4 linked regions of the Arabidopsis thaliana genome follow. The main gene of each other region encodes a partner of the protein of the gene in region 4 in a complex. Each region holds a gene or a part of one and is shown on either strand. Other genes may lie near its edges. The genes, in order: CSN5A, CSN6A, CSN5B and COP13.

Region 1 (7,597 bases), on a different chromosome or scaffold from region 4:
TGGAAATTAATAATGTATTTTGTTTTTCTAATTAAATTAAATTAATTAAAATTTAGATATCAAATCTTATATGTTGATTTTGATTGGTTATTATTTTTGGAAATTAATAATATATTTCATTTTTTAATTAAATTTAATTAATTAAATTAGTATTTGACTTTTTAATCCTTAAAGAGATAAATTAATTTACTCTTTAAAATTTTATTTCTAATGGCATACCTATGTAATTACTTACAAAAATTAAGGTTACATTTAAAATGTACTTCCCAAATAATATAGTAGGATATAAATTATAATCTACTGATCATAACGCTTAGTTTATAGTACTTATTTGTATTAGACTTTCATTGTACATGGGAAATAAAATCTTAAAACAATCTCTAAACCGTTAAACTCTAGACCAACAACGAACCCAAAAGGCCAAATGCATTTATATGAACAAGTTTGATTACTAGTTCCACCAAATTTCTACAATAAGTTTCCTTGAGATATTCCATAGTAATTTGAAGTTGATTTTTAATTGACATTTGTTGCATTATAAATGAGTAAGATACGCCATATAATTGTTGAAAGACCTAAAGCGAGTTTGAGATCATTAAGATAAAGAGGTAGTCATAAATCGTTTATCGTCAAGGTCGACGAAAAAAAGAAGTAAAGTGGTCATATTCGATTTCTGATAGGTATGTAAGAGAGAGATTAAATGCTTTCTAAAATTTTATACATGATTTGGACCTCTTATCTAATATCATTCACTCAATTTATGGACGAGAACATAACAAAAATTTAAATACTTATCGAAGAAGGAAGAAAAAATATTTAGCAACTTGGCTTTAAAGGTTATTCCACTTGTCACTATTCAAAGATTCGAGTTTTGAGCCTTTGAGTAATACCTTGGTCACCCTTATATTGCAACCACGTGGTATAAAGATTGTAACGCTTTAATTCCAATGACCCCTTATTTTGTGGACTTTTGTCATCAATTGTACCAAGTTTATAAAGATATAGAAACTGAGGGCGTATGAATTGTTTCAAGCTAGACATCAACAAAAAAAATGTTATCCACTTTCTCAAATCTATATATACTAAAGGATGTGTATTTAATCTAGTAGTTTAAATTATTTGTGTAAAATTTACAAACTTTATGTTATTTAATTATAGATTTTAAAAACTTTAATGAAATCCAATGTTATTAAACTAATAATTTAAAAATTAACTTTAAAATCAATTGTTATTGAAAACAGTTTGTGGAGTTGATTCTTATTCATCTTGAAAGATTTGAGAAAACTTCTTTAGTTACAAATACACAAATTCAAATCTCATGGTTTTAGATAGAATTTGAAAAGATTTCTATAATTTTAAGAAAGTTGATGTGATTAATTGTACAATCTTTTCAAATTCCATCTACAATCATGAGATTTGTTTTCAATAACAGTTGATTTAAAAGTAAATTTTAAAATCGTTAGTTCAATAACACTTGATTTTAATAGAGTTTTTAAAATCCATGATTGATAAATTTTACACAAATCACTTAAAATACTAGATTGAATACACTTCTACAAAATCATCAAAATCATATAACTACTTACCCTCCCCCTCCCACCCCCCTCTAAATTAACCGTCATTTTAACAAAAACTGCATGTAACAAAACTTTCAAATTTTACCGAATGTGACAAAACTTTCAAAACTGCATGTAACAAAACTTTCAAATTTTACCGAATGTGACAAAACTTTCAAATGGGACAACACTTTCAAAAACAGCAACATTTACCACATGTCACAAAACTTTCAAATTTTACTTTTATACTTTCACGTAATCTAATTCTATTACCACTTTGTTAGCAACCACTCCTTCCCCATGATCTCAAAATGTATCCTCTCCTCTAAACTTTCTTCCACTTTTTTTTTTATAAGTAATTGTAACAGTCAAACAGATGCATTAACTTCTTCTTTATTGCTCTTCTTTCTCACAAACTCAGAAGATCTTCCATTTTTTTTTTCAAAATCCAACTAAAGGCAATTATGTTTTATTTTGCCAAAATATTTTGATATATGATGTAATTTGGCATTTATTTTGTATCAGCATAGCAGGGGCGGCCATAATCTTAGTATATGCATATAATTGAGGCTGCTCTTAAATTTTAGCGTATTTATATTGTAGTGAATTCTTTGTCTTGTATAATATTTTGGATGTAGGACCTGAATGTTGGTACATGAAGACAATCTAATATTTTTAAAGCAGTTATCATTAAGCATTTAAGCAAGTAATGAAACACAACAACACGGTAGAAATTTAAGCAAGCACTTTGATGATCTCTCTCCTTAACTCAAAACATCTTTATAGTATTGTTGTGTTTCATTATTTGTTCTATGTTAATTGCTTTACAAATATTACACTGTGTCCTTGTACAAATATTTAGGTCTAATGCTAAAACTAATTTTTCTTTTGATTCGCAACACTCAAAATAAAAAACTGATCGAAAGCTAACCTTATGTTATACTCTCTGAGTTCTGACACAAACAAGAGAAGAAAAGAGAGGAAAGTGATTTAGATGCTTTGATCGATGATAGAATGAGAAGACAAAAGCTTGACTTTATAGCTAAAGATCAACGTCTATGCCATAAAGTCAAGCATAATTCACACAATATATAAGTTGAACATGCTATCAAAATAAGCTTACTACATTGGTGAAATTATGCATGTGTGGATATCTCAAGAAATATGCATGAGATGCATTACTCTTCTTTTACGCTTTGTGATTTAAGATATTGTATGCCAAATCTATGTGTTGCCAACATTGATTTCTATACCAATTGGTTGATACAATGACTGGAATTTATCCTTTGATTTGCCAACATTGATTTCTATAAAAGTTAAACAAACTAAAAATAAAAAGGGAAAAATATTTAATAAAAAATGTACAATATTAAATTTCCATAAAAATTTTATATGGTTAATGTTTTGGATTAGCATTAGTCCCCAAATCCCATATTAAGTAAATCCATTTTGAGTTTTGTTCTCGCAAACCGGTTTAACCCAAGAACCCAAAGATCTCTCTCTATTTGTTTGCCTTCTTCTTTCTTTCTGACTCAAACCCTCAAATCAATTCTCGCGATTAAGCAAAACCCTAGATTTATTCTACTCTTCGAAGTCGATTTCAATGGAAGGTTCCTCGTCAGCCATCGCGAGGAAGACATGGGAGCTAGAGAACAACATTCTCCCAGTGGAACCAACCGATTCAGCCTCCGACAGTATATTCCACTACGACGACGCTTCACAAGCCAAAATCCAGCAGGAGAAGCCATGGGCCTCCGATCCTAACTACTTCAAGCGCGTTCACATCTCAGCCCTTGCTCTTCTCAAGATGGTGGTTCACGCTCGCTCCGGTGGCACAATCGAGATCATGGGTCTTATGCAGGGTAAAACCGAGGGTGATACAATCATCGTTATGGATGCTTTTGCTTTGCCTGTTGAAGGTACTGAGACTAGGGTTAATGCTCAGTCTGATGCCTATGAGTATATGGTTGAATACTCTCAGACCAGCAAGCTGGTAAGATATCTCTTATTCATCTCTCGCTGTAGCTCCTTGTTTAATTAGCTAGTTGCTACTTGGATCCTTTATGCAAGATTTTGCGAGTGTTTGATTGATTGGTTATGACTGTAACTTTGAACTATAGGCTGGGAGGTTGGAGAACGTTGTTGGATGGTATCACTCTCACCCTGGGTATGGATGTTGGCTCTCGGGTATTGATGTTTCGACACAGATGCTTAACCAACAGTATCAGGAGCCATTCTTAGCTGTTGTTATTGATCCAACAAGGACTGTTTCGGCTGGTAAGGTTGAGATTGGGGCATTCAGAACATATCCAGAGGGACATAAGATCTCGGATGATCATGTTTCTGAGTATCAGACTATCCCTCTTAACAAGATTGAGGACTTTGGTGTACATTGCAAACAGGTATGTATAATTCTTATTTATCGATTTTAAAACTTGGGAGGGTTTTAATCATCGATCTTATGATTCATTTTTTTTGTATGTGGCAGTACTACTCATTGGACATCACTTATTTCAAGTCATCTCTCGATAGTCACCTTCTGGATCTCCTTTGGAACAAGTACTGGGTGAACACTCTTTCTTCTTCCCCACTGTTGGGCAATGGAGACTATGTTGCCGGGCAAATATCAGACTTGGGTAAATTCTTGTATATATGAAAGAGCAAGTTAATTTACTTTTCATCCAGGTCGTAGTTTGATATATCCTCTTTTCTTACCATTTAATTGTTTACATGATGAAGCTGAGAAGCTCGAGCAAGCGGAGAGTCAGCTCGCTAACTCCCGGTATGGAGGAATTGCGCCAGCCGGTCACCAAAGGAGGAAAGAGGTTTGTCTAAATGGTTGCTTTAGCAAAATTATTTGTTATGTTCTCAATGTTTATTGACTGTCTGAGATACTGGACCATGATCTTGAGCTCATACACTTGCCACTTTTCAAGCTTGTTCCTGTGTAGAAACTTTTCATTTGGCTAATTAACTGCTACTATCAACATCTAGCAACTTGGATTAAATTTGAACTTTTTATTCTTAGGCATTATGTTGACTGGATATTGACTAATAGAAACTCTACCTGCAAAACACTATGTTTTACCTTTTCTGGGTTTGAAATTTCACAATTGAGTGTATGTTTAGTCAAAAATATACAGAGCTATTAAAGTTTGAACTAGTAAAACAGGGAGACTTTGATGTATCAATTTGTCAACGAGTTGTTGCCAATAGTCTATGTCTGCTTCCTAGAGTTCTGTTATCTCTGGCTGTGTGACTCATTTTGATATTGTTTTAATCTTCTTTACATAAAAACATTTGTTTTGGAGATTACATTACCTAAGTATATGTGTTGTGGACCACTTTCAGGATGAGCCTCAACTCGCGAAGATAACTCGGGATAGTGCAAAGATAACTGTCGAGCAGGTCCATGGACTAATGTCACAGGTGAGTAAATACAATCTGACAATGCTGATCCTATTTCCCCTTGCGGTTAATGGATCCATGAAATTGACTTAAAAAGTCTTTCATCCATCAATGTGCAGGTTATCAAAGACATCTTGTTCAATTCCGCTCGTCAGTCCAAGAAGTCTGCTGACGACTCATCAGATCCAGAGCCCATGATTACATCGTGAAGTTGGTCTATTCTTTTGTTTTTTGGCTGCGGAAATTGACTATCGGTTTGACCCGGTTTATGAGGCAATGCCCATTGTTCCCTATATCTCTAGTGTAGTATCTGCTTCAGACAAAGATCTTTGGGTTATTAAATGACATTAACATAAATCGATCATTATGTTTTTGCGTTTGACTATCTTGATTTAGTGGTATTAAAAACCAAATTCCAGATACACACGTGATGTCACAGTAATCATGTGCCTGTTACGGAACCATGTGCAAAAAATTGACACAAGCATACAAATGTTCTCCAACGATTGAAGCAACAATGATTCTAGGCCCTCTTTTCTTTCTGTTCTTCATCACATGAAATTCATCAGGATGTTGTTTTTCACATTTATGTTTGAACAGCATTTCTTTTGTTAAAAGCGAACAAATTCTATTCTAAAACCGAAATTGTCATTACAACAAGACCACGATTTAAGGGTACTAAAAGCGGATTAAGATTTCTGCATTCGAACAAACTGACTACTAAACGAACATCAGGCCGAGAAAACAGTCGGTAGGAAGAGATAACGTGTGAAGTTACTTGAGTAGGATTAAGAGTAAGGTAGTAGTAATTGATAGAAGCTGCGTGGGGCTTAATCAATAATGACATCCTCACTTAACCAGCATTACTGGAAAACAAGAATAAGAAACCACATGATGATGTCAAAGACTTTTTGGGCCTTCGCGTATCCCTAAATGGGCCTATTTACGGCCTAATACTTGTCTAATGTATAGTTGGGTAGAACAAGAAGGTCCGAGAGTTCGAAGCTTAAGCCATTCTATCTTTTCTGGGGATCTAGAAGATCCAAATGATCAAAGAAGATATTATGAAAATTTATTCTGGAGATTAGTTTTGATATATTGTGATTTGTTTCACTACTTTTGTTCTTTTAGCATTTTCTCGAAATGCATTTGGATTTTAGATATTCTCTAGTCCATGTTTCAAGCTTCTTGGTTAACACAAGCTTAGGTTGTTAATTTGCACAGACACAACTGTTACTCTGCCCTGAACAAGGATCTTATCTCTACTCCTCTACTCCATCTATATCATCATGCTTGACACCAGGAAATATATGATATAAGACATTTTTAAAATGATACAATTGAGGAAGGCATGAAGCAGTGTTTGGGGGTAGTGTCTTAGACTCGATTTTCATCAACCTCAATGGTTTGATGGGAGCAGCAGATTGTATGTAATTAAGCTTTCATTAAGGGAGTTTCTTTCCACTAGTGTTTTCTTACAAGATAATGAGAGGACAGACTTGAGAGGTGACATGGATGGGCTACAACATGTTTTCTCGCAAGATGTTGACTCTAGCACACAACCACGTCTTAATGTTTTCAGCCCTAGAAGGTGTCAAACTGGACTGAGAAGCATACATTGGGAAACATGAGAACATGAGGAGATGTGAGTACAGTGTTCAGTATGAATATTTCCAGTATCCTTATGAACATACTAGATTCAAAAACTGAAAAGCATGAAGTTGTATGTGTTGCATAGTATATTCTAGGAGGTTATGAGATGTTACTCCCCAAAGTTTTTAACCACTAGTAACAGTAAACAGAGACATTTGAGTAATGCATTTTTATTTAAGAAACATAATCTGAGACTTGAGGACTTAAGTGACTAAGTCTTTAAGAATTAAGATACTAAACATGTTGATGCAACAAAAAGGCTTGCAGGGTTTTGTGCTGATCATTTTGCTTAATTATGCAATCGTTTTTTCAGTCTTTCAAACAGAAAATTGTTTTGGTGCTTGATTTTTTTTTTACATTATCCTAACAGACATTTTCTTTGTCTTGTTGATTAGCCATCCTTAGGCTAAAACAACATAAACTAATTAAGCTGATACATGCATCAGCTTGAGATTGGCACATGAGTGATTGATGATGATGATGCTCCATTAGCAATATCTCTCAAAGAGAAACCCATTCTCTCGAGAAGATGCAATTGCAAGAAGGTGAGAGATGACAAATACGACATGATCACCATCTGAAACAGGAGATCCCATTGGGATCTGCTTAAAAAGCCACCTCCAAATTCCATAAAATGGGGTAGCTTTTAGAGCAGAGGGAGAGAAACTAAGTGCTGAGATTAGCCAGGAGCATCCTTTAAACCATAGAATGGCTCTTGACCTGAGAAGAAGAAGATGATGATATGAAGCTTGATAGCTACCAAAGACTCTAAGCTTCTTTAACGGTAAGGAATAAGAGGTGGTTGAAGCGGAAAGCCTGTTACGCCTGTGGCACAACAAAACACACTGCCAACAATGTTAGTGTATGTGTATATCTTTGTTGCCTTTGGTGTACACATGTCTATTATCATATACGAACCTTGTTGCATAGAAAAGGTCGGAGGAGAGTAATGGTGAGGGTTATAAGAAGACAAGTGATGA
Region 2 (7,309 bases), about 18 Mb from region 4:
AGAGAAAACGGCTTAGGCCATCGGCAACAAACAAAAGGCTTAACTATACTGCACAGCTGGCATGGTCTCGAGAAATCCATACTAGATAGGAACAATTACCAAGTAAAACAACAGCTATAATTCCCAAACAAAAGCCCTGACCCACAGATGATTGTGATATATGACAGTGACAGTGCTACCTCGTTGCATTCCAAAATGTTACATTTTGATTTAAACTCAAGATGAAGGAGAGTGGACCTGAACTTTCTTGTAATTACACTTCGTTATATAATTGAATAGATCTTGATTTCAAAAGGGCAATGGGCATGAATGATATAACACCAAAATATTAAGTATATACTCGACCCTTAAAACCTAAGTTGAAAGCATATAACACAATGTTGCAGCTACAGAACACTATCAGATAAATGGCAAACCTGAGAATTAATAAATTCCTCTCCCCTATCGGCAAAAAAATGCCGGGCCATTATGCTACTACGATCACGTATACATTGTTTGTCACTTTGTGACAATCCTAGAACTGGAACAGGTGCTGGACGAAATGGAATACCACCACGGCTACTCTCAACAAATGAATGCAGAAAGTTTGATAAAACTCTCTGTGGGGGTCCTGCAATATATAAGCAATGGAAAAACTAATCAAGCAAGCAAACGAAAAATGCCTCACTCGACATTAGGCTATATAACTAAGACAGAGCTATGAATATTCAACGTGTCATTCAGGAGAAATAGGACTCATGGAAAGAAATGACCACACTATTTATTTCATGTCGCTATACTAAATTACTAACTAACACTTTCAGTGTTAACTTCTCTTCCTACAAAAATAATGTTATGTACTTCTCGATTCAAGATGAATATGTGAAAATATATACTACCTTTTATTCAATATCAAAACCACTACATCTAACCGTTTTGTATCCGGGATTAAATAAAAGTGGTATAGATCAAATCACAAACCTTCAAATGTAGGCTGAACTGGCTCAAACATAGGTCCCATTGGAGGCATAGGTCCACCTTGCTGTACCTCATCCCAAGCTGCACCCAAACCATTCTGATCAACAGAGCGAAAACCACGGAAGAACTCTGACCCCTAATGTAAAAATTGCAAACCCATCAGCCATCACAGAGGCTAGATAATCAGAGTCAATACTACCATTGTAAAACCAAAACTTTCCACAACATTAACCTGAGCACCCGGTTGCAGAAGTGGCTGATCTAACTCAGAACCAGGAAGTGACCTTATCTGTTGGTCTTCAGAGTAAAATTGTGGCCGAGGACCTGACCGGTTTGCATTAGGTATCTCCTTGAGCCTTTCCTGCACAACAAATCACCAATCATCAACATTTCTTCAAATTCTCAGGAAATTTTAAACCTTTAAACAATTGTCAGCCAAATCACTTGACATAATCGAAGAACGTCTAAAACCCTAACACTACGGAAAGAAAAATCGAAACTTGGCAAGCAAATAACAAAACCCAACGAAAAATGAGATCTAATTCGACTTCTTAGTTCCAGGAGAACCAAGGAAAAGGCGAAGAATGGAATCAGGAGACTTCAAATGTCAACACTGTTTCGATCAAAAAGGAATCAGGAAGCTAACCTGGGTTTTGGAAGACGAACCAAGTAAAGCGTTGGTGAGAGCTCCGAGAGGATTAGAAGAAGAAGACGAACCAGGAACGGCACAAGCGGCTCCGCCGTTAACAAGGTCTCTCATCGCCATGTTTCCAACGGGTTTCTACTCCTCCGCCGCAATCACCGTCGTTGAATCTATCAGTATGGTTTCCTCCGTTGTCCGGAATTGATCATCAACCTCCCAAATCCTAATCTTTAGTTTGGCTCGTCTCGTGGCGGTGTTTTTTTTGTTTGTTGTGTTTGGTCACAGCTTCGTAAGAAATTATTAAATTTTTTGATAGTATTTTGGTAATTAATATTTATATATTATCCACACCACACACATTTTTAGGCTCACCAACACATTTTTGTTTAGTTATTTATTTTTGTGAAAAAACCGTTTTTTACAGTATCCGTAATTAAAAATGAATTGTTGTGAATATAGTTTTTTTTTATCTTTCTTTATCAAGATATGTTTTATCTTTTTGTCCGATTTGCTGCCACTTTTGAATTTTGTAGTTTCCTATTAGTGTTGAATTATATTTGCTTGATCATACCAAAGATAAATAAATTATATTGCTTGATTTTTGCTGGGTTTAGTTATATTTCTTGATTGATTGTGCAATGCGTTACAAACGAAGGTAGATTCTACTCTTGTACTCATATCACACATTTGGACGACCAACATGACTTCACTAATTTCATCAATAACTAAAAAAAAAAAAAAAATTCATCTACATCAACAATAGTTACAATATGCTAGGCATCTCTAGATTTTTTTTTCCTTTCATTAACTTGCAAGAATTTACACACTAGAAATCAAACATTTTGTGGAAAAAATTATAACCTTTAGTCTAACCACTGAACTATTGAACTTTCATATTGAAAAATTTGATGAATGTTGTCTGTTTTCAAATTTCTAGTACATTTTTTGTCAACTTCAGATATCTGATTTTATGAGTCTCAATCGTTTGGTTTATCTTATTTTCGTTTGTTAATTAATATAATTAGTTTCCAAAATGAAAAAATGTAATTGGAAAAACAAGTCATGAGGCCCAACCGCATATATAAGTCCTACGCTCGGCCCATACAGAAAAAACTAATATCCATATAGTTGACCCGGAAGACCCGATCTAGGATCCGAATCCACATTGATTTAAATAAAAAAAATCTTCATAAAAAAACTAAAAACCCAAAAACCAAAGAATTCATCAAAGGAGAGAGAGATCGACAATGGCACCTTCGTCATCAAGCGGTTTAACCTTCAAGCTACATCCTTTGGTAATCGTCAACATATCGGATCACTACACTAGGGTCAAAACTCAGCTCAATCCTCCTGCTTCAATCTGCGCAAGCGGCCATGGCTCAAACAACGGCGAAGCAATGTTCCAGCAAAACCCTAGGGTTTACGGATGTGTGATCGGTGTCCAGAGAGGTCGTACTGTTGAGATATTCAACAGTTTCGAGCTTTTATATGATCCTTCTACTCAAACCCTTGATAGATCTTTCCTCGAGAAGAAGCAAGAGCTCTGTAAGCTAAAGCTCACTCTTTTTATTCTCAACTATTGATGCAATCGTAAATTAAAGTTTGAACTTTTATCTGGTTTTATTGTTTATTAGATAAGAAGGTGTTCCCTGATTTCTATATTCTGGGATGGTACTCTACGGGAAGTGATGCTGAGGAATCTGATATGCATATCCATAAAGCTGTGAGTCCAATGCTCTCTCTAGTATTTTTGTATAATTGAGATTTGGTCTCTAAAAGTGTGGTTTTTGTGTCTGCTCTTGGTGACAGTTGATGGATATCAATGAATCTCCTGTTTATGTGCTTTTAAACCCTGCTATCAATCACACACAGAAGGATCTTCCAGTGACTATTTATGAAAGTGGTATGCTTCTTATAATGTCATATGGTTCTGTGGGTACATTCTGATATGTTAGCATGTTAGTATAGGTATATGCGTAGTTCAGAGTTTCTAGATATCTTCCCAAGTCTTTATCTTTATTGACTTCCAGATTTAGGTCAGATTGTTTTACAAGATCCTAACTTTTCTCTTTGTTTCATTGATTGATCTTCATTACTTGAAGAATTGCATGTCATTGATGGAATCCCGCAGCTAATTTTCGCTCATACAAGCTACACAATCGAGGTCTGTGCTTAAGTTTGATTCTGCAAATAATTTTTTTTTTTTTTGTCAAACATTCTGCAATTTAATCTATGTTATGAAAGTGTACATTGACTAAGATTTTGAGGTGTTATACAATGTAGACAGTTGAAGCTGAACGGATATCAGTTGATCATGTTGCACATCTTAAACCATCTGACGGAGGCTCAGCAGCAACCCAGTGTGAGCCTTATGTCACTAATACATATCATACTCCACTTCCTGAGTCTTACTGTTTTTGGCTGATTATTCGTTCATATGCAGTGGCTGCTCATCTTACTGGTATACATAGTGCCATCAAGATGCTTAATAGCAGAATCAGAGTGCTTTACCAAAATCTTGCTGCAATGCAGAAAGGTATATTCTGTTCTTTCCCAAGTTCCGATTCTTATCACCGTGGTTTCATGTTTACCAGTCCAGGATTCTAGCTGAAGATAGTCAAAGTTGTGTAAGTGTAATAATTTATCTGCCAACTCATTTATGTGTGTAGGTGATAAATCTTGTGACAACTCAGTTCTGAGACAAGTATCTAGCCTGCTAAGAAGATTGCCTGCCATGGAATCAGAGAGATTTCAAGATAATTTCTTGATGGTGAGTTAGTTAGATCTGCACTTGATTCTTTTCAGTGTAGCTTATTGTCTGAGATATTTCGCAACTTATGCTGGCATTTTTTCTTTTTGCAGGAGTACAACGACAAATTACTAATAACTTACCTAGCGATGATTACAAATTGTTCCAGGTTTGTACCTAATGCAACATTCTAAAGTATTTGAAAGCAAGTATATAGGCTAGCGAATGCTCTTTAACTAGTGGTTCTTTAGGAACTGTGAAAGATACGGTTTTCACCGGGCTGGTGGATTCTGTTATATCAGTTAATAATTTTGTTTGCTCAATCTGCAGCAACATGAACGAGATGGTCGACAAATTCAACACCGCATATGACAGAAACACTCGAAGAGGTGGAAGAACTGCATTCATGTAAAAGATCCTTTCCAGCGATTCTAGTTCTAAAGATCTTCTCTTGGTTCCTGAAACCATTTTTAACATTGCCTCTGTGAGAATCTATAACTCAGACGGCAAGACTTTATCCTCTTCATTGTTTCTATATCTATAAGAACATCTGCTTATCTATCAAAGCTCTTGTTTGATCTTGAACAAGTTTCTATTGTTAGTAAAAAGATTTTAAGGTTTGATTCTATCAGTCTCTCTAGTTACATCCACATCAGTCTCCAGTTAGCAATTGCAGTATTGCTACACAACACTCACTTTTTTCTTCTTTGTTGATTTCAATATAAGATAAAGAACCAGTAAAAAAGAAGACAAAACCAAGGAATGAACAATAAAACAGCCTTTACCTTCCCCAAAGTTTGAAACCAATAAATGAAAGAAGAAGAAGAAGCAGAAATTAAAAGTTATTATAAGGAGTGACCAAATGCAGAAGAAGAAGAAGAAGAGTAAATTTCAAATCTGAGGTAATCTACTCATGATCTGGTTATATACCGATTGTCCTGAATCTGAAACCGGTTCAACCTTTGGTTCCATCCCTCTCTGCATCATTGCTTCACTCATCCCAACCGGTTGTGTCATATACGGGTGAGGCAAACCCGGCATTTTCCCTTGACCATACGCTAAACCAGGCATTGAAAGATTAACCAAACCGGTTTGTCCTAAACCGAAGGAGAAACCAGAAGGAGGACCCAAATGTGGCTGAAAGCTAAAGGGACGGCTAAAAGGAGACTGATTGTTAGTTGTGACTTGTCTGTCGAATCTCCCACGTGGCGGCTCTGAGTGATGACCGTTGTGGTAATGGTGAGAAACTGCGGCTGAACCGCCGCTGTTACCGTTACCACTATCACCACCGCCTCCGTGGCTGCTGTTGCGTGCAGCGGGGACGTCATGGTTATGTTTGCCTTCGTAAGTTGTTATAACGGATTTGAGATCATGAGAAGCTCTTTCAACATGTTTCCTCACTGTACATCCTGGAGCTGTGCATTTGTAATAACTCCTAGAAAAACATTATGAAAACGTTATAAAAAAAGAATTGGTCTTGTGATTGCCGATAAACATATAAACAGAACCAGACCAAAACAGAGGAGGGGATTATAAAGAACCTTGGATTTGGATTGCCTTTGACAACTTTCTGACCATATTTTCGCCAGCGATAACCATCATCAAGAATGTCAACATCACTCGTTGTCTGCACAACAACTCTTGGCTCACGTATGGCTCTTGTTGATCCACTCATCTCTGCTGCAAAAGCTTCTAGTTTCCTGTAAAATCAAAAAGTTTTTGAGTCTCGTTTACTGAGTCATCGAGGATTCGGTGTTTCGATTGCTAAAACAAACCTTCTTTTCGACTCTGATTCATCTCCTTCTCCTCCCCCACCTCCTCCTCCTCCATCGTAACCCAAAGAAACACTTCCATGTGTCCCTCGATCATCTTCATCTTCATCATTAGAGAATGTTGAAGAAGCATCAACCACAACCACAGGATCACCTGACTCGTATTGACCTCCGGTTTGAGCTTGAATTGATCCAGATTGGTTTCCATACTCGAATCTCGTAGATCCCTCTTCGACATTGTTCTCATTGCTTCCACCTTGTTGTTGAGTGTTATTACAACTAACCCACGTTGCAGCAGAATCTCTCTGTTGTTGTTGTTGTTCAACTTGTTCAGTTCCATCTACTTGCATCCCTGAGCGGCGATTAGGTGGAGGTTTAAGATGATTATGAGCTCCTTTGTATATAATCTCTGTGATGTGACCTTCCCTTGATCTCTCAACTTTCTTCTTCACCTGACAATTCGGGTTTGTGCACTTGTAATAGCTTCGCGGATACTCACTTCCTTTGACCAACTTTTGTCCGTATTTCCTCCAGTTATATCCATCCTCTGCAGGCGCACCACCAGCCATCGAATCACCGCGTCTTTGCTCTTCTTCTTCCTCTTGATGATCCACGGTTTCAAGACTGGTGTTTGTAGTGACATCAGATGTCTTGTTCTGCCCGTTTTGATTGTCAGTTTCAATCCCATAAAGATTGGAGCTTTCTATGTTTTCAGAGCCAGGTTTTACTTCTTCTGCGGATTGATGAGAAGAAGATCTATTGTTGTAGTTACCATAATCAACTGACATCATCTCTGTTGTGCCTTGGAAGAAAGAGGAAGATGATCTTGAAACAGGATGGAAGCTGAATGATGCTCCAATATCATCAAAGAACTCGTCTTTCGCTTTCTCAGAAGACAATGCATTACCATTAACACCAGGAAGAAATGGAAATTTCCCGGTAGTTGGAGAAGGTTGAGCCTGCAAGGTCACCGAGATATTCAGAAAAAATAGCTCCATAATAACATCGAAAGAAAGCAAACCAACTTGTAGCTTACCAATGGGTTAGAAAGGAAAACAGGAGATTCCAAGAGTGTTGCAGGGCTAAGGCCAGGAGAAGAGATGGTTAAGCAAGGAGATCGAAGGTTAGAGTCAATGGAAAAGTCGGTGTTGGTGCGGATATTCTCAGTGTTCAACCTTGGAGCATTAA
Region 3 (7,249 bases), on a different chromosome or scaffold from region 4:
CTCTGACTCTTTTTCTTCAATGGAGATGTTACATCACTCAGAATTTTCTGTGATTTCGACACCCACTGACTAAATCGTTCTTGTACAACATCTGTCATATAAGAACACCAACATAACTCAGCAGCTGTTACAGAGAACTTCAAGAACCAGAATTCGAAGAGGAAGAAGGGTCTTACTTGTGTCGATATCGTTCAATTTCCATTTCTTCTGAGCAACAATTCGGAGTCTTGGCTTTCGATTAGAAGCACAATTTCTGGAGAAAGAGCAGCGTCGATGAACACGAACTCCATCACAACGGAAACCAATAGGAAAATCTGGAGTTGCAGAAGAAAGTTTCAATCTTTTCAATGCTCCGACTCTCTGCGCCATTTCTGTAGCTGAAAAAAAAAAAGCTTTGGAGAGAAAGAGGCGTACAATAGCAAAACACCACCCTTTTTTTTTGTTGGTCTTACTAAATTATTGCTTTCTAGTTTCATCTTTTGTGTCTTTATTCTCAAATAAATATCAAACCATGTCGACGATTCCTTAACACAATTTTTTCTGTATTATTCCAATTTAATTCATTCCCATTTGCCTACAAATTTGTGTCACACAACAGAAAATAAAAGGTAAACATCAAATTAAGGTCCATAATCTTATTTAGAGGAATACTCGGAAACATGTCCATATGAAGATCTTTTGTCAGTTCTCTTGCTCTCAGAACAAGGTGGAGTTTTCCTCTTATTCGAATGCGAATCATCATCAACATCATCATCAAAAAGGCTGAGATCCTCCACCCCAAGAAGCAAGGGTTTGCGATATTCCATAGTGAAAAAGGCTACAGAGTCACTTTTCACTGTAAACCTATATAGCTCCCATGTTGAACCATTGTTCATAGCAAAACGTGGTATAAATTTATCACGTACATAGTTCCTTCGATGCCGTTCTTTAACCAGTTTCCAAACCCCTTGGTCGGGCACGAACAGCGCGAGAAACAGCCATATGCTATGTTTCTCGCTACATGTCAAATTTGTAGGAAACATATCCGTGCGGAGCTATAGACAATAACTGACTGTTTTCTTGAAGGTTTGGTATCCCCGGACTTCCACGAAGCTCCGGATAACTAAGGCTTTCTAAGATTCTCCGCAATACTACGTCTTCAAGTGTATAAGTTTGCCATGTTGTGTGAAGTGCGTTCTTGATAAGCTTGTTGAAGATGGTCAGGTTGGCAGTACATAGCTCCTTGTGGGCGTCGTCGTCGACAGTCCCATAAGGAACACTTTTCATCAACAAACAAAGACAGAGAAAGATGATTGCCATTGTTAGCCATGTTTTAGTACCACCTATTCACGGACAACGTGAGTGCAGAGAAGGAAAGAGAGAGGGGATAGAGTTGGAAAAGATCACTAGGTTTCTGATTTCCATAAATACAATTTTTGTTTAAGGGCTTAAGATTATTCCTTTAACCCCGACGAATCGAATGGGCTTAAAAACATTTCTTTAACCAAAATCTTCTTCTGTATTATTCTCATTAGCATTATAATTCTTTACACAACAGAAAATAAATGAAAGGACAACAAATGATGGGTCAATCCAAAACTAGAAACCAAAAGAAGAGCAACTTCAATATGTAATCATAGGGTCTGGATCCGACGAGTCAGTGGGAGATTTGTTGTTGGACTGACGCATTGAGTTGAATAATTCATCTTTTATGACCTACAAGTACAACAATGATGGATTTTGAGTCTGTGAAATACACGAACCTTAAGGGAGATATGTCACCATTTCGTTTCAATATTATTACTCACCTGCGACATTAGTCCATGGACCTGTTCCACAGTTATCTTTGCGCTATCCCGAGTTATCTTAGTTAGTTGAGACTCATCCTGAAAGTGATTTAGAACACACGTCAAATGAGATCTTTAACAAGCAACACCCATTAACATTCTCGAAAGTTATATATCTGTACAACCTTCAACAACACTTTCATTTCAACTAAACAGAACACCTCCAGGTCCCAATAACCAAAACATTTGAAGATATATCCTCTTAGTAGCTAGATGTTTACAGAGGCACTTAACTAGCCACCGTAATCGCAATTAAAATTTGATGAACCACTAGGACATACCTCTTTTTTCTTATGAAGGGATGATGGCACAACTCCTCCAAAGCGAGACTGAACCAGATGACTCTCGGCTTGCTCAAGCTTCTCAGCTTCATTGGTAAAATTACGAAAACGATTATATAACACATTACTTGACTGTGACTTGAGAAAAAAAAGTAAGAGTGAATGATTTAGGCCATATCCAAGAGTTTACCTAAGTCTGATATTTGTCCAGCAACATAGTCTCCATTACCCAGCAGTGGAGAAGAAGAAAGAGTGTTCACCCAGTACTTGTTCCATAGTAGATCCAGAAGGTGAGAATCAAGAGATGACTTGAAATAAGTGACATCTAATGAATAGTACTGCCAAAACCAAAAGCCAAACATAAGAATCATGTTGGGACCTTGCACCGAGAAAAATCAAGAAAATGTACCTGTTTGCAGTGAACACCAAAGTCCTCAATCTTATTTAAAGGAATAGTTTGATACTCAGAAACAGGTTCATCTGGAGGCTTATATCCTTTAGAGTATGTTCTGAAAGCACCAATCTCAACCTTACCAGCTGAAACAGTCCTTGTGGGATCAATAACAACAGCTAAAAATGGCTCCTGATGCTGTTGGTTAAGCCTCTGCGTAGAAACATCAATACCGGAGAGCCAGCATCCATATCCAGGGTGAGAGTGATACCATCCAACAACATTCTCCAGCCGCCCCGCCTTATAAAGGTCAAGTTATTATAACCATAATCAATCAAACTGTTCTGACTTATATACAAACTTTCTAAAGAAAAAAATCAAAACTTTGAAGTTTCTTGAATCTCACTTACGAGCTTGTTGGTCTGTGAATACTCAACCATGTACTCATAAGCATCATCCTGAGCATTAACCCTTGTCTCAGTACCTTCCACTGGTAAAGCAAAAGCATCCATAACAATGATAGTATCACCATCGGTCTTACCTTGCATAAGACCCATTATTTCAATTGTACCACCAGAGCGAGCGTGAACCACCATCTTAAGAAGAGCGAGCGCTGAGATCTTGACTCGTTTAAAGTAGTGAGGATCATTCTCCCACGGTTTCTCTTGCTGGAACCTAGTCTGTGAAGTATCGTCGTAGTAGAAGATGTTGTCGGAGGTTGAATCAGGTGAGTCTACTGTTAGAATGCTGTTCTCTAGTTCCCATGTCTTCCTTGCTATCGTCGACGACGAACCCTCCATTCTTTTTCGAATTAGGAATTCAGTTGCAGAAATCTAGGGTTTCATACGGAATCGATGGAGTGTGATCGATCTGTCTGCTGAAGAATTGAAAACTGTGTCAAAAATGTTACTTCGGGGATTGACTTATATATAAGAAGAGAAAAGTGGTGAAAATTAATTCCTCTGGATTCTTCTCTAATTTAGAAATAAAATTTAAAATCCTTTTAGTTTGTTTTTTTTTTTTTTTTTTTGACGGTATTAAAATCTTTTAATTGAATAACACAAAATTTTAAAATCTATTAAACATGATTTACAAAGATATAAACTCCAATAACACTAAATTTTAAAATTGAATTTAAAATCATTAATTAAATAACAGTGTATTAGTGTTGGATTTCTTTCTATTAAAATCCATTAATAAATAACGTCCCCTTGTAAAACCGTAGATTTCTTCCCTCTTCTAAAATAATTTATTGAATTACTTCAGCTTTTCTATCAGAGTGTCAGACCCTTTGCTAAAAGAACACGTATTGCTTTTTATACAGACACTGACACGTCAGTTTTCCGGTTCGGTTTTTTTACTGGTTTGTCGGTTTGGTTTGATTTGAGATTTTGGACGGACGAGTTTACAAATACGTTATGAGTGACTATGTTTGTAATTGATTCAAAATCATATTATACTGATATTCTTATTCTCCTGCAATCTGTTGACTTTATCTTCTGTCTAATTTATGTGAGAGATGTCTAAGAAACTGTAGCTACAAAACTAGAAACCTTATCTAGCAAATGCAAAATAGCCATGATTGTCTAATTTATCTTCTCCTCTTTTGAAACTTCAGGAGCATTGAATTTACAGTTCTGCTTTAGATTCCAAGTCTTGTTCTGTATCTTCAGAGATGTCATTTGATGGAAGAGGATTAGGCTTGTCTGTAGCAGGAGCAGCTACTGGCTCGTTGAGTTCCACATCTTCACCCAAGATTTTTGCTGTGAATTTTCGTGCTTCGAGATCAAGATCGGGCCATTCGGTTACGATTCTTCGGGCACCCTGCAGAAGAACACCGCATTATAACAAACAACGCTTTGTGAGTGTTGTAGATATGAGGAAAGCCATCATTTTACCTGAAGCTTTGGTTCCTTTGTCATGGGATTATTGCAAAGATCGATTGTTCTGGCCTTGGCTTTTGTGGCGTTTCCACACCAGGATTCACACCACAACCACTCTTGGGGAAGTGAAAATATAGGAACAGTATGCTGAGCATAATTAGGAAGATCCTGAAACAAAATAATGACATGCCATCAATATGTTTGAACCTGGAACTCTAAAGATTCAGAGCATGGTGTATGGTAAGAGTCAAATGCAAAAGCCTTTCAAATAAAGTAAAACGATAGTGTGACCACCAAAGAAAGGTTACAGCCCTAAGTATAGAGAACCATATTATACAACTTGCCTGATCTAGGTTGGACAAACTGTTTGGATCCTTGCTAAGCGTCTCATAGAATACTCTTAGATTATCTCCTGCCGCTGTCTCTCGGAACTTAACCAAGTCAACAACGTATAGAGCACTACAGATAGAACAAGGCACATTAAGAATGGGAAAAGCAACAACTTACTGAGGTTCAAGTAGGTTTTTTTACCTGATATGGTATGGCCTACCACGTAAATGTTCTTTCCAGAAACCCTGTTCAAAGCAATTGAGAATGTAAGAGTATGGAAACCAAAACTACCTCTACAAGCAAAACAAAAAGATTAATGTTTACCTGTTTCCAAAATTTATAGCCATCCATTTCCCTGTTGTTGTCACAAAAAGGAGTATACGCGAGAGGTCTTCCTTTAATATCCATATCATACAGTTCTCCCATGTCTGTCCTTATAATTTGATCTGCGTCGACAAATATAACCTACAGAACACATGTCGAATACCTTATAGTGACATCTTCCAAGCATCAAAATCGCAAGAAAGAAATGAAAATATGATCATCTGTACCTTTTCCAATGAGAGAGGAAATATGACATCAAGGAAAAGAATTTTGTAGGCCCAAATAATTCGTTGCTTTTCTTTCTGTTTATGCAACCAGGACGGCCATTTGTATGTAATCAGCTCATACTCAAAGTTGTATTCTTGTGCCATATGTGGAATCACATCCTGCAAGATTAGAATGCGATACACATTAAGTTAATGTGGCTACAAGATAAGTTCACATCTAGAGATAAGAAGACATATATAGATACAAACACAAAAGGCATATGTGGAAGCAAAGAAACAAGGAGCCAACCTTAAATTGAGGAGAGAGATAATTCTTAATAAACCAGAATTTTACAGGACGATTGGTGTTCTTCAGGACACTGAGAATCATAATCTTAAGGAAACGCTCGTATCTGTCATAAGCAGTGCCTCAGCGTCAGAAATGAATTGATACCAGCAAATCATATATTAAACTTTTTTTGTTCACATAATACACTTAAAACTCTTATGCACACGAATATCCAATCTACATATAGACGTAGAAATACCAAATATGATTTTCTTTTCATATGATTGATGCACTTAAAGTAATTCAGATTTTCTAAAATGGTTCAACGCACGTAATTATATTAAGTCAATGTGTGCGGTCAAGCAGGTTAGAAAAATGATAGCGCTTACAAATGCCCTGAAGCAATGGAGAATATATTTATCGTTTTCCCTTGTCGCCCACCCTTCTCATGCTCCTGAAAAGATGATAAATAGAAATAACTTGATTAAAATTGTTGCAAAGGTAGCCCACATGTTAGAATCATGCAGAATTGAGATGCAACAGGTTTACAACAATCATAAAAGTTAGTCCATATTACAAAAGCTACTCACTTTGTCAGGACCTCCCTTCATTGATTGTTGACGACCACCAACAAAACCAGACGCCCATTTCAAGAAATTTGAGTTCCAGCTTCCCTGCTAAAACAAAAGAGCGTCATTAGAGAATATATAACCAACACTTTTAAGGACCAATAGTTTTATTGTAAATCTTCTATTCGAGTAAAGTAGCACTCACTTCCTTGTTTTGTTGCACAGCATCATCACCGTCTGAAGGAACTAGCAACTTTTCATGCTCCTTACCCTTTCTCTTAACTACTTCTAGATGAACAACTTTACCACGCAGATCATCGATAGTTATACGTTTCAGCGAGGATTGATCTTGACTCCCATCATTTCCTCCTTTCAAAGCGTATAGCTCCGAACTTCTACCCGGAGCAAGTTGCAAATACCAAACCCCTGGGGATACTTTCATCTGCCAATAACCCAAATTGGCCATTACAAGGGTATCAACCAAATGCGGTCTATTTTTGGTTCCCAGAATCAGCTGAAGGCCACGAGGAGCCTCATGATCTTTTTCCGCGCAATGACCTGTGCAAGGGTTATGTTAATAATAACATGAACAAATCCATCCACCCTTGAAGAATAAGTTTAGAAAAGCTAACCTGTAAGAACAAGAGATTCAACCTCAAAAACTGCCTGCAGTGTAGTGGTATCTCCTAGATTCTCAAGCAATATATTATCAAGATCATGACTGGACAAAGACATCCAGCAGAGAGGAAACAAAAAAGCAGAAGGTCAGGCATAAGCAAAAATAAGTGAACTAAACAAGCAAATGCCATGACAAATTTGAGCCAAAAAGAACAGCATAATCCCATTTTCTTTTTCAGGGGAAAATACATACATGGCAATTACTGGTTCAACCAGCCATGGCTCTGGAACGTCAAGATTCATGGTAAGTGTCTTAGACAATGGCATATTTGCGAAAAATGCCTTAGGCCCATCTACGTCAAAGCCTGTACTGCTGTAATCGTCCTAAAAAAAGATACATGGCAGAATCAATATTTGATCAGAGGATATGGACAATACCAGACCGTCATATATTTTATTAAGATCTTTTAAAATAACATACCGTATTAGGTAAGACATATCTGTAGTAATTTTTCAGAGGAATGTCCACAAG
Region 4 (7,795 bases):
CAACCATTCTCTTGTCCTGGTATTGAGGATCCTCAGTGTTCAACGCTGCCTTGAATGTGTATGACGCATAAAACATGCAAACAGTGAGGAATTACATGAACACTACACTAGTGTTTACAGTAACGCAACAAAGTTTTGTAATTACCTCAACTATTACTCTATCATAAGGGTTATCCTCATCAACAAATCCATAGTTCAGAAGCAATTTCGCATTTGGTTGTGGCCCACACCTTCAAATAAAGGAGGAAATGCAAAAGTATGAAAAATAGATCAGAATGAAAAAGCTAGCTGTAGGAAGCAATTTGGCTTACAGACGCACCAGACAACTATAGGATCCCCGGCCTTATATGGCCTATCTACCACGAGTTCAACAGCACCATCAACAGCAGTAAGCATTGCCTTGCAGTTGGAACAATAGGCCAACAAGGGAGGACCAAGAGGAACCAAAGCAAACCGACGAGCCAAACCGACATTCTGAGTACAAGAAGAAGCATAACAATCTAAATTAGAAGAAGCAACAAGCACCACCTGACTACTTGCTTAAATGATGAGCTGCAAGCTAAACTTTAGATTCAGCGATAGAGTAATAGAGGTAAGACCATATTATTATATTTTACTCTAACTATTCTTTCAAATACAGAAAGACATTCAAGTTGTGAAAAGTAAACCCCAAAAGAATGAAAATTACTTGTAAATGCACCACACATGACTGAATGGCAACAAATGCCTGTTTGAAAATCTCAAATGAAAAAGCTTCAGTTGGTATGTCAAATGGGTATTGCTGCAAAACACAAATAAAATGGTGTAAGTCCGAGGCCGATGTTTAGCATTCCATATATTAAAATGACAAGAAGAAGCCGAAATCGTAGGTAGCCAAACACCTGAAACAAAGATCCAGCCATGAACCAGACAGTGTCAAGCTCATTGTATTCTCTTTTGATCCCTTCAGCCCTCTCAAGAACTTCGGCCTGAACCATGTTAAAGAAGTTAACCACTAAGAACCCACTATACTAGTTCATCACACGTCCGGCATATACTAACGCAATACCTTGGTAGGACTACCAGTTAGGTAATCTAACTCAGCCTCTGACCACAGCAAAGGGGATTCCGCATCTAACTGACCTCTTCCTCTTTGACGATCAAGTTCTCTTATATAGGGATACCATACTGATTTCTTTCCTTGTTTCTTCTCATACATCAAATACAAAGCTAGACAAGCCAGTTCGGATAATTTGTTCGTCGTCAACAGTTCAGCTGTGTGATAAAGAGAGTTTATATGGCTTCAGACAAGAATCAAAACACCCGTAATCCCACCCTTATCTAAGAGAAATCACAAAGTCTAATCCAAATATTATAGTGCATAACTGATGAAGTAGCTTTATGGAATAGGAAACATAATAGAGAATGTCTCATACCAATAGTCTCGTTTCCCAAAACTCTTTCCAGAGTAACCACCAGAGAATCAGGAACTGAAAACGCCACATCACCCTTCTGTAAAAGACAGGTAATTAGGAAAAATTTACCATCAAAACCCGGAAATTGATACTTGGAATACCCTATGGAACTGTGTATAAGCAAATAAAACTGTTGAAATGCTAAGTCAACCACCTGAAGATCCTCACTAGCAGCAACATAATGTATAGGTTTATGCTTCTGATCATGAGCTGGTCTCTCCTTGAGAATAACCTTGCAAGGTGGCAACCCATTCTTATCCATCCAAAACTTCAAATCCTCGGAGTCATCTCCTTCCTTCTTGCTCGATACTTTGCTCTGCCTCTCGTCTTCCTTTGGTGAACCGCTCGCGACTAAAGTATCTGAGCTCGAAACGCACAAGCTTCTTAGATGAACCGATCGCGATGAAGAGATCAATTTATTGTTCCTCCACCGAGGAAGTGAAGAAACCCTAGAAAGTGGGAAAGAACGAATTGGAAGAGAGACGCATTTCGTATGGAAACATGTGATAACCCCTTCCATCGGAATTATCAATTCCAAAATTCCGATTATGTCGAAACGTAAAGATTCTCCGGCGACGATTCTGAGGATTTTGCTCCGTTCTTCTTTTGCGTTTTCTCAGATTATTTTTTTCATTGAGGATAAGAGAGGGAAATGGAGAAATCAGGTTGAAAACGAAATGGGGAAGATGCGACATAAAAAATGAGTAAAGAAATAAAAATCTACGTGGCGCTTAGCGAGAATGGGCCTGAAACTAGCCCACCACAACAAGGAGTCTATCAGATTCCCCAAACGACACGCAGTTAAAAACGAGTTTGATACGACGCCGTTGAGACTTCTCTAACCCTTGCAAATGATAAAACGCTCGCGTAAGTTAGCACGAGAGATACACGCGCAAGGGGAAAATTTTTTAAGTAAAAGGGAAATAAAAGATTTGAGGGTCCATAATGGTCTTCTCTACTTGTTGGCAATTGTGACAAAAATATGAAACTTTTTAAACCAACAAAAATGAACAAAGAAATCAAAAGTAACATTCTCAAGATTCACACTACGGTTGTCTTTGAGCCAAGTTTTGTTGGTGCTTCTCGACTTTCGCTGTTTACATGGAGAACTTCTGAGGAACAGTATCGAAATCGTCTCCAAAGTCGTACCTTTGTCTTTCCCTTCCTACCTGAAAAAAAGTAGTCAAACGGCTTAGTCAGAGAAACATGGGTTTCCAGGACAGAAGACTAATGGAATATGGTATTAAATTACCTTTCCCAAGTATAAAGGGTCACATGATAAGCTCTCATCCATGGCTAAGAGATTCTTCGACAGACCAATAGTCCTGAAATTTTTATCAAAACACATAACTTGTTTGATGCTACTACTTTCCTTTGGCAAAACAGTCATCTCCATATCAACTTGATTCCAAGTGCTAATTATGCACTCCTTATTACGAGTTTCAACATTCAAGCAATGTTTCCCAAAAAAAAACCATATCAAAACACTTAGTTCTGTAGACATACCTTTGTATAACAGAATCCATGATCTCAATCATCTCACTAGATTTGTACTGCTCAGGGTCCTCCAAGAATCTGACCATCCCGTCTTTCTGGTTGATAAGGGCATGTATCTGACCATCCTGGATCTGCAGGTTTGTAAAGAAAAAAATGATATTGTCCAACATACCAGTTAAACTAATAAAGCTAGCTTCCAAAAATCAAGTGTGGGACACAATACCATCTGAAGCACATGCATTTCCGCCTCCTTAGCATTACCAAGTTGGACCATGTTGGCTATATCTTGAAGCGACAGGGTCAAGTACTTCTGTGTCAATCTCAGAATGTTACGCTTGTAAAGGGATGACACTGCTTGCTTAACTAATCCAAGGTTCTTATCCTGAAAGAGCATTTCGCCCAAGTTATGGAAGGGGATGAATATTTAATATTGGTACAGAAACTATGGTAAATGTTTAGAGGCAATTTACCTCTTCAAATTCTGCATTCCTGGCCACAACCAATGCCTCTAGTTCACCAATCTTCCCGTCGTTGTAACAATTACCCAGTTCAATGTAAGGCTGAGAAAAGGGTGAACGATAAAATCATAAGCCTGAAAATAGATTTAGCTGGTATGGAGTACAAAACAACTGAAATCTTTGGACTGAAGTGAAAAAGGGACCAGACTCCATTCAAACATGAAAAATACAACTAATGATCGGGTTCAAACTTACTCCGGTATAGTTCTTGAAGCTCCTCTGTGCTGCTGTAGAAGCACACTTGGGGAGAGTGTTAGTAAACTGCACAAGTAAAATCAAACAAGATTATAAGAAAAACATCATAAGATTAACCAATGCTTGAAATTAAAATCAGACACAGGATGTAATTGTGAAACCAACATTTCTCAAAAACATACAGTTGATTCAGACTCGTGCAATATGCTCCCATGACCGAAAACTAGATAAACAAAGAAAGTAAAATATAAAGAACACAGCCTTACCTGCCCATTGTGAATGAGAGACACCAATATGTACTTTTTGTACGCCTCAAGAGCTATGGCATTGACTTGATGCATAGGAGCAGTCACAACCTGATACAAGTACTTAGGTTGAGTTAAAACTAAAACGAAAGTCCTTAATGTATAAAAAGCACGTAAGAAAAAATAAAAATGCCTTACATTGTAAAGAAGCTCTAATGCTTTCTGAAATCTCTTCAGTCCAATACAAATCATTCCCCTATCAAAAGTCCAGGTAATCAAGGACCAGAATAAGAAAATACTATAAAACAAACCCAACAGGGATGGATTTAATGTGTTTACACATCTATTGATCAAAGGAAAAAAACAGATAGCAATGAGGAAAAATTGCTTACCCATAATAGCTATAGAGAAAAAAGTCTCTTGGCTGGTCAATCTCCACGATATCATCACTAAGAATGGAGAAACCAGATTTGTACGATTTCGCCTGCAAACAGAGTTGAAGAACATCTGGATGCAATGCAGTCAAACGCTTGGAGGAGACCTGAAGCTTCTGAACAGCGTTTAACAGTGGCCCTACTCCTCGCAACGGATCTCCCAGTGCTATAACATGGTCTTTCAATATCTTACAAAGAGATACAACTGCAAAATCAATATAATAACATCATCCATCTCCCCAAAGAAAAAAGAAAAGAAAACACATTAAGACAAGATAAGCTCTCATTAAGTGTCAGTAAATTACATTTATAGCTCGCCAAACGAATCTGCCCAGCATCACAAGAATTGATGAACCGTGCAATTATCGGTATCTCATAAGCAGCTTTCTCCTTCGACACTGGACCACAGGTAAGAACCTCACTGTAACAATCAAACCATACAAAAAACTCAAAGATCAGAAATCGAATAACATAGACAATTCTCCTTGTTAAACTTCGACCTAATCACACACATCAAGTTCCAATAACCAAAATCATCAATCAGCCTCAAAGTATACACAAACTAGTAACAAAAACCTAATCTACCAATAGGTTAAAACTCACAGGAAATACAGGTAACCGAGAGAGTGCTTCGAGGCGTCGAGCTGGTCAAGAGTAGAGAAATTAACACCTGGTTCGGCTCGGAGCGAGTCTTGAGCTCCTCTCAAAAGATCGTGAAGTGCAGATAAATCCTCTGGACTCCCCGATAAACCTTGGATTGACGTTATCACAGCCTCCACCGAGTTCACAGCTCCGATCATCTTCGATACTAAGACGAAAACACAAAAACCCTAATCGATCGCCCTTTTTCTCCCTCTCAAAATCTTTTGCTAAACTGTTTGTTTAATTATCTCTGGATCTTCTCCATAAAAATACATGCTCTCATAATATATATACGAACCCTCCGAACGGTTAAGAGTCTAATACATTACTCTAGAATAATAAACCAATATCTAACCGGCTTTTAAACCAAATATTCCCGGTTCGAAATGTACCAGATGGTAATTGTCGGTTTAGCCAGACCAATTTCGGGGATGGCCTTTTATCATTCGTCTTTCCAGAGAAAGAACGAGATTGCGATCACAGAGTGTCAAAGCAATCTGCTTTTTCTCCTCTCAGATTCAAAGGTTCTCTTTGAAGCTTCGTAGGTGGTTATACTTTGATGGCGGATTATCATTTCGTGTATAAGGACATTGAAGGAGCGTCAACTCAATGGGATGATATCCAGCGGAAATTGGGGAATCTACCGGAGAAGGCTCCGGCTTTCAAACCTCCGGCGTATACTCCGGCGGAAGACGAGTCTTCAGCTCCTAAGGATCAGGCATGGTTTGATAAGAAGACAGAGGAGGAGCTTGAGGATCTTGAGGACGACAAAGATCTCGACGATGATCGCTTTCTCGAAGAATACAGGTTCGTAGATCGAATCGAACATTCTGATTTTTGTATTTACAATCTTAACTTTCCCTGGAGAATCCTTGCCTTGGTGGATTGTGAATTCAATTTTCTCGGATCTGTTGCCATGTAGCTAGGGAATGCAATTATCAAGCTCTGGTTTTTCTCGATTCGTTTGTGTTTTGGATATGAATGCAATTGAGGGTAGTATCTTATTTGAGATGTTGATGAATAGGCTAAACATAATTGTGCAACACACTTCATGATTCACAGGCACTAATGTGTTTTGATGCTTTCATAGGAAGAAGAGGTTGTCTGAGCTAAGAGAGGCTGCTAAAGTTAAAAGATATGGAACAGTGACTCCCATCTCGGGCTCTGATTTCGTGAGGGAGGTTACGCAAGCTTCTGCTGAAGATTGGGTTGTTGTATGTCTCTATAAAGATGGGTATGTTTTTTCAAGTATTCGTGAACTCTTGTTGAGCCATTCTTTACTACATGCTTGAAACACTATTAACTCATGTTTATTTCTTGTTGTTCTCTGATAGTGTTGCAGAATGTAGTTTGCTATTGGGTTGTCTAGACGAATTGGGTAGTAGATACCCAGCAACAAAGTTCGTTAAGATAATATCTACTGATTGTATTCCGAACTACCCTGATTGCAATCTTCCTACCTTGCTGGTGTACCACCATGGCGCCATCAAAGGAACTCATGTAGGCTTAAAGAGCTTTGGCCGTAGGTGCACCCCAGAGAGTAAGTTTGAATGAACCCTTGTTTGTCTGATGTAATCTGTGCTTATTTGTGTTTGATGATTATGTCATGTCTCATCTCTAGCCTTTGTCTGATCTGAGACCTGATGTGACCACATTGGCGATTGTATCATGCTTTGAGCAGATTGGTCTTAGGCACATGTCTAACATACTTGCAACTGATTTGGTTTTTCAGGTGTAGCCTTACTTCTGTGTCAATCAGAGCCAGTTCTTAACGATGGCAAAGGAGGAGACGATGACTCCTCGAGGGAAGCTGTGATGGCTGGAGTTCGAAGACAGTTCATAGAACGAGTGGTGAAGGACCACGAAGATAAGGATAACGATGATGGTGGTTACAATAGTGATTAGAACTTCAAAGCTTCTCTGTTTATCTCTGTTGGTTATTGCTTGTTGAGTTGGTGACTGGTAAACAAAAGTGCTGACTTCTTGTGTGATGTAATGTTTTTTAAACATTTTGTAACTTTTGTTCTTTTGAAAGAGACAGGAACTTCATGTTGTTTTTTGATATCCAGGTATCACATGCCGAATTTTAGTGCTGGATCTAAGCCTGTGAATCCATGTAAGTTTAGAATAGTCTTTGTTTTGGACAAAGTAATAATCAAATTTGGAGAATCTCAAATCAACTGAGATGTTTTAGTTTTCATTCATGTGCAACTCGAACTACTTCACAGTTCACAAATATACTGCAGATACCAAACCCAAGAACTATAAACATCCCCAACACAATAGAAGCACACTACCTTCAAAATGAAGCTCCCTTTCTCAAAACTTCTTTATATACATACATAAACAACACTAATTCTGAGTCTGAGTTCTTCCACAAATTGTCTCTCTGGTCACAAGTCGTATTCCCCTCACCCACATCTCTGCACACACCAACCCACCTTCACACACAAAATGAACCTCCTTGTTTTCCGTAGTCACTACCCGGAAAATCCCTTCCTCCTCCGCTCCATCGCCTTTCCCCTTACGGTTCTTCCTGAACCGCTGGCTCATCCCGATCTCTACTTCCTTGCACACCACAGTCCTCTTCCGTGACTTTCCCCAACTTAGTACTCCACTTGATTCCAACATTCTCAATCCTTTCCCATGCTTCTTTCCTTTCCCTCCCTTGGTGTGTTTCATCACACTGCTTCCTTCTATCACAAACCTCCGAGACAACTCATTACGGATCACCTTCTCCGCATCACCAGTCGCGAGATCCAGCAGCTTTTCCCCTCTTCCGTTCTTAGCATTGCAGTTTGCGCCACAGG

The links.
Region 1: COP13 (region 4) and CSN5A share a complex: the UniProt entries of both Arabidopsis thaliana proteins name them as parts of the CSN complex.
Region 2: COP13 (region 4) and CSN6A share a complex: the UniProt entries of both Arabidopsis thaliana proteins name them as parts of the CSN complex.
Region 3: COP13 (region 4) and CSN5B share a complex: the UniProt entries of both Arabidopsis thaliana proteins name them as parts of the CSN complex.

Annotation. Positions count from the first base shown.
Region 1 is NC_003070.9:8,107,458-8,115,054, reverse strand, and holds CSN5A (COP9 signalosome 5A), read left to right. Parts: upstream 1-2,993; 5' UTR 2,994-3,159; coding exon 3,160-3,549; intron 3,550-3,676; coding exon 3,677-3,958; intron 3,959-4,044; coding exon 4,045-4,192; intron 4,193-4,295; coding exon 4,296-4,381; intron 4,382-4,907; coding exon 4,908-4,985; coding exon of another isoform or gene 4,986-5,057; exon of another isoform or gene 5,058-5,083; coding exon 5,084-5,173; 3' UTR 5,174-5,481; downstream 5,482-7,597. Other genes in the region: AT1G22910 (RNA-binding (RRM/RBD/RNP motifs) family protein), read right to left, coding at 7,106-7,442, 7,532-7,597. UniProt on the Arabidopsis thaliana protein: Probable protease subunit of the COP9 signalosome complex (CSN), a complex involved in various cellular and developmental processes such as photomorphogenesis and auxin and jasmonate responses.
Region 2 is NC_003076.8:22,781,069-22,788,377, reverse strand, and holds CSN6A (COP9 signalosome subunit 6A), read left to right. Parts: upstream 1-2,772; 5' UTR 2,773-2,847; coding exon 2,848-3,145; intron 3,146-3,234; coding exon 3,235-3,323; intron 3,324-3,409; coding exon 3,410-3,503; intron 3,504-3,702; coding exon 3,703-3,764; intron 3,765-3,883; coding exon 3,884-3,962; intron 3,963-4,043; coding exon 4,044-4,136; intron 4,137-4,269; coding exon 4,270-4,370; intron 4,371-4,462; coding exon 4,463-4,518; intron 4,519-4,679; coding exon 4,680-4,761; 3' UTR 4,762-4,994; downstream 4,995-7,309. Other genes in the region: PEX5 (peroxin 5), read right to left, coding at 417-610, 961-1,093, 1,190-1,318, 1,604-1,723; WRKY2 (WRKY DNA-binding protein 2), read right to left, coding at 5,241-5,784, 5,891-6,049, 6,125-7,080, 7,158-7,309. UniProt on the Arabidopsis thaliana protein: Component of the COP9 signalosome complex (CSN), a complex involved in various cellular and developmental processes such as photomorphogenesis and auxin and jasmonate responses.
Region 3 is NC_003070.9:26,848,609-26,855,857, reverse strand, and holds CSN5B (COP9-signalosome 5B), read right to left. Parts: upstream 3,453-7,249; 5' UTR 3,299-3,452; coding exon 2,909-3,298; intron 2,799-2,908; coding exon 2,517-2,798; intron 2,446-2,516; coding exon 2,298-2,445; intron 2,194-2,297; coding exon 2,108-2,193; intron 1,866-2,107; coding exon 1,788-1,865; intron 1,696-1,787; coding exon 1,603-1,695; 3' UTR 1,439-1,602; downstream 1-1,438. Other genes in the region: AT1G71240 (chromosome-partitioning protein, putative (DUF639)), read right to left, coding at 1-91, 177-369; AT1G71235 (uncharacterized protein), read right to left, coding at 636-835, 1,053-1,299; EBS1 (EMS-MUTAGENIZED BRI1 SUPPRESSOR 1), read right to left, coding at 4,128-4,322, 4,397-4,549, 4,726-4,840, 4,913-4,956, 5,036-5,176, 5,263-5,421, 5,552-5,654, 5,920-5,984 and 5 more. UniProt on the Arabidopsis thaliana protein: Probable protease subunit of the COP9 signalosome complex (CSN), a complex involved in various cellular and developmental processes such as photomorphogenesis and auxin and jasmonate responses.
Region 4 is NC_003076.8:4,595,318-4,603,112, reverse strand, and holds COP13 (Proteasome component (PCI) domain protein), read right to left. Parts: upstream 5,246-7,795; 5' UTR 5,144-5,245; coding exon 4,947-5,143; intron 4,765-4,946; coding exon 4,649-4,764; intron 4,549-4,648; coding exon 4,302-4,548; intron 4,166-4,301; coding exon 4,108-4,165; intron 4,021-4,107; coding exon 3,931-4,020; intron 3,731-3,930; coding exon 3,665-3,730; intron 3,512-3,664; coding exon 3,422-3,511; intron 3,334-3,421; coding exon 3,175-3,333; coding exon of another isoform or gene 3,127-3,174; exon of another isoform or gene 3,083-3,126; coding exon 2,961-3,082; intron 2,780-2,960; coding exon 2,707-2,779; intron 2,624-2,706; coding exon 2,552-2,623; 3' UTR 2,278-2,551; downstream 1-2,277. Other genes in the region: AT5G14260 (Rubisco methyltransferase family protein), read right to left, coding at 1-49, 146-230, 320-474, 689-781, 882-968, 1,049-1,254, 1,416-1,491, 1,609-1,974; AT5G14240 (Thioredoxin superfamily protein), read left to right, coding at 5,545-5,792, 6,076-6,219, 6,320-6,525, 6,718-6,890; AT5G14230 (ankyrin), read right to left, coding at 7,338-7,795. UniProt on the Arabidopsis thaliana protein: Component of the COP9 signalosome complex (CSN), a complex involved in various cellular and developmental processes such as photomorphogenesis and auxin and jasmonate responses.